Arabidopsis thaliana: one gene and its partner. Each later gene encodes a partner of the first gene's protein in a complex. Each region holds a gene or a part of one and is shown on either strand. Other genes may lie near its edges. The genes, in order: AT5G65220 and PRPL28.

Region 1 (4,215 bases):
ATGAACACACCAAACCACATAATAATACCGAATAATCAGAAACTAGACAACAACGTGGTACTTTTTTACTTCATTGCTCTTCAACCTCCTGATGATAAATTTGTTTGGTCTGTTTTCAGAAATTTAAACTAGCTTTCATTTCTTGACAATCTTTTTTTTTTTTTTATAGTCAGAGGATACTTCCCATGGAACAGCAGGAACTCCTCACATGTTCGATCAAGAAGCTTCAACGTCTAGACATCCCGATAAGGTTAGCTATTCAAATACTTCTCTATCAGTTTCTTAATCATAAATTTCTACGCATCATATAGACTAAATCGTTATATCGTTACAGATACAAAGACGGCTTGCTCAAAACCGCGAGGCTGCTAGGAAAAGTCGCTTGCGCAAGAAGGTATGACTTCATTTTCTTCCCCTTGGTAAACTGTTTCTGTTTGCCTAATGAGTTGAGAGATTTGATTGTTTTTTTTTTTTGCAGGCTTATGTTCAGCAACTGGAAACAAGCAGGTTGAAGCTAATTCAATTAGAGCAAGAACTCGATCGTGCTAGACAACAGGTTAATGAAATGAAATCTAAATATATATTCGCTTTCTTTCGAGTTCCAAAATATAATGCAATTTCTGATTGAATATGAATGTTTTCAGGGATTCTATGTAGGAAACGGAATAGATACTAATTCTCTCGGTTTTTCGGAAACCATGAATCCAGGTTTTGAATCAAGAACAATGAGTCTTTTGGAAAAAATATAGAATTCAAGATTTTGATTGGTGGAAGCTTATTTGATTTGCAGGGATTGCTGCATTTGAAATGGAATATGGACATTGGGTTGAAGAACAGAACAGACAGATATGTGAACTAAGAACAGTTTTACACGGACACATTAACGATATCGAGCTTCGTTCGCTAGTCGAAAACGCCATGAAACATTACTTTGAGCTTTTCCGGATGAAATCGTCTGCTGCCAAAGCCGATGTCTTCTTCGTCATGTCAGGGATGTGGAGAACTTCAGCAGAACGATTCTTCTTATGGATTGGCGGATTTCGACCCTCCGATCTTCTCAAGGTATAAAACAAATAACAATCTAGCGTAATGTTTAATGAATAGAAGGAAACAAGCAAGATTACAATGTTTCAAATGTTTTTTTTTGTAGGTTCTTTTGCCACATTTTGATGTCTTGACGGATCAACAACTTCTAGATGTATGCAATCTAAAACAATCGTGTCAGCAAGCAGAAGACGCGTTGACTCAAGGTATGGAGAAGCTGCAACACACCCTTGCGGACTGCGTTGCAGCGGGACAACTCGGTGAAGGAAGTTACATTCCTCAGGTGAATTCTGCTATGGATAGATTAGAAGCTTTGGTCAGTTTCGTAAATCAGGTAAAATATATATATTCAAACTCATTTGAAAATACTATAGTATCAGTTTCTTGATTTTGTTTGTTCATTCTTAGGCTGATCACTTGAGACATGAAACATTGCAACAAATGTATCGGATATTGACAACGCGACAAGCGGCTCGAGGATTATTAGCTCTTGGTGAGTATTTTCAACGGCTTAGAGCCTTGAGCTCAAGTTGGGCAACTCGACATCGTGAACCAACGTAGGTTTGAGTTATTTTGTAACAACCAAATGAAGAAAATGGAAAGACCTCAAAAAATGAAGAATGAGTGCATCTGAAAACAGAGGACTACTCTGAATAAATAGAGGGGTTGCTGCTGATATTTATTTTTACTCTGCGGCGGAATTAGAAAATTTGAAAAACATCATGTATTGATAAGTTGTAAATATCAGAAAAAGGTGGGGGTGCAAAAATTTGTACTTTTTAGCTTTTGAAAGAGGCAAGTTTTTCGAATGTTTGTTTGATTTGTAAACAATTTCAGAATTATATAAACTTGGTTCCAAATCCCCTGTAATAATGTCGAGCTATCTGCAATTTGAAAACTATAGGGGCTTTACTTAATTTTACGTTTTGTGTGACACCTATTTGATTTTTTTTGATACGTTTGGACCAGTTTCGTAATTAGAGGTAAATAAAGGGGCAAATAGTAAGATATAAGAAAAGCCTTATCTCATAGAGTTTCTTCTCTTCATTATCCTCAAAATCGCTCGAGAGTGAGAACTCTGCTCTTCTTCTTCTTCCTCCGCCATAGCTACAATGCTTAGTCTCTCAATCGCTACGCCGGGGACGGCGGCGATTTTTCGTAGAGGAACTGCTTCGGCGACTTCAACTTCGTCTTCATTCCATGGTGTCAGAATCCAGCACCAGGTTTCTGCTCGCGTCCCCGCGGCGGCGACGATATCGTCGTCGTCTCCTAAACCGTCGGTGGTGATGATGTCGAAAAGAGAGGCGGAATTGAAAGAGATAAGATCGAAGACGACGGAGCAGTTACAAGAGGAGGTTGTTGACCTTAAAGGTGAGCTCTTTATGCTTCGTCTCCAGAAATCGGCAAGGAATGAGTTCAAATCTAGCGACTTTCGTCGTATGAAGAAACAAGTAAGCTTTTTTCTTACTCTTTAATGCAGAATTATTCCAAATTGTGAAATCTACTTTGTGTTATCTGGTCGATTTTGGCAGTCTTTGAAAGGGTTTAACAAAATTGGGATATGTGGTTTATTGATGGAAACATTGAAATCATCACCATGGAAAATAGGATTATTTAATATGAAGTTGTAGAAGATGTTAGCGAACTCTATAAGCAATGTTTTGTGTTGTTTGTTCTACACATTATAGTTGATTCTAAACTCTAACAATGGCAACATTGTAAGTTACTGTTTTGTGATATCTAATACTGTTTTTGGTAGGTGGTGGAATGGAATTAGAGATTTAATATTGAGTTCAATCCATCCCCTTTTATAGATTCTTGCACACAAGCTTCGAATATGTTCTTAGGATACTACGGTTTCAGTTAGACATGAATGTTGAGCTTTGCGATATCGTTTGTTTAGTCTTTTAAGTGTGCCAATGCACCAAACTAGCTTTAGATGAGAATTTACTTGCTTTGGTTTTACTGATTGCTGGGATTTCAATCAGACATGAATCTTGAGCTCTAAGTGACTAATCCACCCAACTTAGCTGGAGATGACACTAAATTCAAGTAGAGATTTCTTGGTTTTTTTGGCTTACGTCCGTCTCTTTTCTGGTACTGAAGATGTGATCTTTTGGTTGTGGGTGATTTAGGTTGCTCGGATGTTGACGGTTAAAAGAGAGAGGGAGATCAAAGAAGGGATAAAGAAAAGGTTGTCGAGGAAACTTGACAGACAATGGAAGAAAAGCATAGTACCAAGACCACCTCCGTCTCTGAAGAAACTTCAAGAAGAAGAAGCTGCAGAAGAAGCAGCTGAAGCTGCTAAATCTGCTTGAAAAAACCCGCTATTGATTTATGGTCTCTTCCTTGTTGTTTCCTCGAGATGTTGTTAATCTCTGTTATTTGTTGCTGAACCATCTTGTATTTGTTTTTCTTTTGGTGTAAACACTTTCCTTATCAAGTAGTTTACATGAATCCCTTAAAGATTGAAATCGTTCCTTCATGTTTCATCAGAATTATCATCCAATCTGACAAAGAAACTAGTAATCATTCGAAGTTCGAAAAACATCAAATAAGAATAAAGATAAATAAATAAAAGGAAAAATCCAAAACATTGGCGGGAAAATTAGGAATTTATTGAGGAATCAATGGTGGGCTTAGAAATAGAATGGTGCGTTAAAGTTTCTGTCTTTGTGTGCGTAGATGAGGTATTCGGTGGTAGATTCCGGCTGGGTTTGGATTTTTTTTCCGGCGAGTCTATGAGGTAAAGTGATATTTCTTACAGATTTTAAGGATTCAACTAATACGATTATGTTTCCGATGATGTTTCTTGTTTGGGCATGAAACCCTAGATTTCAGCGATTCACTTTCAAAATAAAATCCGTTTATGCAATCGAATGTAGTAGAAAAATCTCATCTTGGTAAATCTCATTGAGACTTCATTGTTAGTTTTTTTTGTTAGTCAACCAACAATGGGTTTGGTTTTTGTTTTACTATTTTTGTCCTTTTCTTATTAGTATATTGAAGATCTGGCCAATAATTTTTCTGACTCAGTGGTGTTGAAATCTTCTTTCAGAAGTGGGGACTAGTGATAAAATAATCTCAAATTAGTAGTTTCTTCTCTTTGTTTTTTCTTTTCTTAAAAGTTTGAATACGACTGATATAAACATAGTTCAATAAGAAGTCATG
Region 2 (3,412 bases), on another chromosome or scaffold:
TCCAGGGGAAATTCCAACAAATACAACCCGCAAGGTTAGTTATTTTTGCAAAGTGTGTTTTTCCTTTTCCCTTAAAGTGTTAAGCTTTGAGGAACAAATCTGGATTGGTTCGAGGAATTGATGTGTATCTCAATAGGGACGAACCAACGTGGAGCCGGGCTAAAAGAGTTACTGCCTTCGAACACAAACGAGAAACCGAAACAGAAAACAAGGCGGAAACCCGGAGGAGCAGCTTCTCCAAATCATAACGGGTCTCCGCCTAGAAAAAGTAGCGGAAATGCTGCATCATCAGATGAACCATCAAAGCATTCAAGACATAACCGAAGCGCACACGGGTCAACAGACTCATCGAATGATCAAGAACCATCAGTTCGCAGAAGGCGTGGTGGTATCCCGGCTCCAGACACAGAAGTTCCTAATCAAATACCTGATGGTTCAGCTCCTCCACGGAAGGCTACATCGCGTCCTAGGAAACTAAAAGGATCATCAGCAGGAGGAGAAGGTTCGATTAAGAAGTCTTCAAAAGGAAAACCCGAGAATTCAGTTGATACAACCTGTAACGATATTATCTGAGAAACATAAACAAAACCATGAAATGTATTATTTGAGCCACCTGCAAGTGAGAGTTTGTTTTCGTTTCTCTTTAAAGTCTTTTCTTGACAGTGTCTGATACAACAACTCAGAGATTCCATTGATACTTACCAAAATCTAGAAAGGAAATGTACGAGTACTGCAAAAGGAGAAGCAAGAAATGTATATAATAAACTTTGCGATCATCATATCTATTTCTTGCGAAGATCAATGCCGGCTTTCTTGGCAACAGCGTCGAGTCCGTTCTTCTCAATGGTCTTCAAAGCCTTAGTTGATAAACGAAGTTTGACAAAACGTTTGCCAGCTTCCCACCAAACTCTCTTGTATTGTAAGTTGACGAATTGCAACTTCTTGGTCTTGTGGTTAGAGAATGAAACTTTGTTTGCTCTGTTTGCTTTCTTCCCAGTAAAAGGGCAGATTCTACCTGACATTTTGGAAAACAAAAACACAGTTTCAAGAAAAAAGGAGCAAATTGCCCAATGCTCAGAATCATATAAATGTGGTCAATTTTGGAGAATTTTTTTAACATAACATCAAATTCAAAGGAAAAGTTTAATACGAGAAATTATGCTACGGGTTTTAAATACACTGCTCATTTTCATATCTAAAAGCAAAGACATAGTTCCAGACAATTCAACACAAGCTTGCTAACTCAGAGATTCGAAATTCGACATGAATAAAACGAAAGCAAGATAAATTTAGTACGCCAATGCATTCGACTAAACCCTAAGAGAAAGGGAAAAGGGGAATTACGTGCGACGATTGGCTGAATCCCGGGGAACGAAGGAAGGGAGATACGGTTGATGACGTCACTGGGAGTATATGAGATTCTTAAGCCGCTGAGCTGGGAGGTGAGGAATCCAAGCTCCTTTGAAGTCACGGTTGACTTGGTCATGGACTTGGCTGATGAGGTCATTCGTAGCCAAGCGCCTTGTGTCGCCATTGTCGTCATTTTTGGTTGCTGTTACTTCTGCTTCGAAGGAGGATTTGGATAAAGAAGGAGATTGGGTTCATTTTATTTATTATTTTGTAGAAAATGAAAGACGCTTTCTCATTCAGAAGGTTACGTTCTCTTTTAACACAACAATTTTTCAGTAAGCAAACCGGTCCATATAGCCACCAACACAATAGTATGGTTTCATCTTTCCCTTCTTGGATTCTCTAATACATAAAAGTAACGAGACACAGGTGGTGATGAATAATCCAACCTGATCAATCCCAACGATTACAAAGAGATTTTTGAAGGGTTTTTGATTGTAGATGCTATGTATCTCTGAACTCGGTTTGAACCGGTTATGTGGTAAAGATGAGAAGAATCACAGAGTCTCACTTGTTGTGGGATTATTTACCCACTTGGGAACCGGATTTGGTAAAGCTCTTTAGAAACATATTCTGCTTTCACAATCCGGTTATCATATAGCCTTCCGTGTAAAGAATGGGCTGCATCACATGTCGCTTCTGGTCTTCTGTACTCAATGAAGATACAACCCGTCTCAAATACATCCTCGGGGTCTTCTTCTTGTTCTTCTTCTATCTTGTCGCCAGCATCCCATCTTGTCTTCACGGTACGCACTGATGCTACTTCTTGTGGATTCTCTGCCTCGGCCTGCGCACTTTCTTCAACAATCTTTTCACAATGCTCTTGTTCAGTGGAGTGTAGATCTTCATTTTCTTGAGTGCTTGTTTCAGCAGCAGTATCCGAGCACGGTTCACATAACTTGTCTTCACCTGTCAAACTGTCTGGCATGACAACCTCTGCAAGATCTACATTGTCTGCAATATCTTCCGCTTTCTCGGATCCTTCATCTTTCTCCTCGATCACTGACACATTCATTTCTTTAGAATCAGTTGATTCTAAGTTCAACAATGGATTTGTTTCAGAAACAGTGATATCTTTGCTCTTGTGTTCCAAGATGTTTATCGACTTAATAACCCCAAACCTGCATCATGACAAGACCCAGAGGCCTATTTTCTTAATTTACTAGCTTTTAAAAGCTCAATGGACTCATGGGAAGATGATCTCAGAGCTTAACCTGGCACATTCTAACCGTACATCCTCCAAAATTTCTTTCACTTCTTGCTCGGAAAACGACGTGAGATCTTCTGGGTCAACCTGTCAAACAAGAAAGAATGGAATGTTAATATAGCCTCACATAGTTTATTTGGGAAAGATTCACAAGAAAAAGGATACACCAATTATGCTTACCACATTTTTTAGCTTTAGAATATTCTTAGGCTTGCCAAGAAGTGGTTTTGCATGGCTAGGTATCCCATAGAATGGTGGATTCTCATTCACCTGCAACACATATTACGTACACACACCACTCTCACAAGTAACTAAAGGAATTTCTGTTCAATGTCACCCATACAAACACAACATGAACTAACGAAAGCAAAGTTGGGTCACTGAATTACCGCTACGGATGATGCATCAGGAAATGCACAAACGGCTGTTATTACACTGCCACCTAACCTCATACCATTTAGACCAGCACAAGCTTTGAGGGTAACAGATCCATCAGTGTACTGAAATATAGAGATTTAAAAAGAGTTAGGGCTGGTTAATATGAATATACTTGGAACTACAGTCACATTCATGGTTACTCTGTAAAAGTTACAAGGTAATAACACCTTCCCATGCTACCCGGAAAATGAAAAATTAAAGATATGAAACAATCACAAGAACTACATCGAGATGGCAGACTAAGATGGGGGTATCTTGGCCACAAATAAAAGTACATTCTAACCTCTAGGAAAGCGCATCGCTGATTGAGATCATTGTTGCTCACGAACCGGTATGCTTTCAAAGGTCCAAAGACGC

What was found.
Region 2: AT5G65220 (region 1) and PRPL28 share a complex: the UniProt entries of both Arabidopsis thaliana proteins name them as parts of the 50S ribosomal subunit.

The regions. Positions count from the first base shown.
Region 1 is NC_003076.8:26,059,145-26,063,359, forward strand, and holds AT5G65220 (Ribosomal L29 family protein), read left to right. Parts: upstream 1-2,020; 5' UTR 2,021-2,156; coding exon 2,157-2,495; intron 2,496-3,179; coding exon 3,180-3,362; 3' UTR 3,363-3,538; downstream 3,539-4,215. Other genes in the region: TGA1 (bZIP transcription factor family protein), read left to right, coding at 1-57, 170-250, 335-394, 479-556, 645-708, 791-1,062, 1,151-1,378, 1,453-1,605; AT5G65225 (uncharacterized protein), read left to right, coding at 3,786-3,790.
Region 2 is NC_003071.7:14,171,751-14,175,162, reverse strand, and holds PRPL28 (Ribosomal L28 family), read right to left. Parts: upstream 1,585-3,412; 5' UTR 1,544-1,584; coding exon 1,345-1,543; intron 1,020-1,344; exon of another isoform or gene 1,016-1,019; coding exon 783-1,015; 3' UTR 574-782; downstream 1-573. Other genes in the region: RIC1 (ROP-interactive CRIB motif-containing protein 1), read left to right, coding at 1-34, 137-573; AT2G33435 (RNA-binding (RRM/RBD/RNP motifs) family protein), read right to left, coding at 1,937-2,531, 2,625-2,704, 2,798-2,887, 3,007-3,117, 3,339-3,412.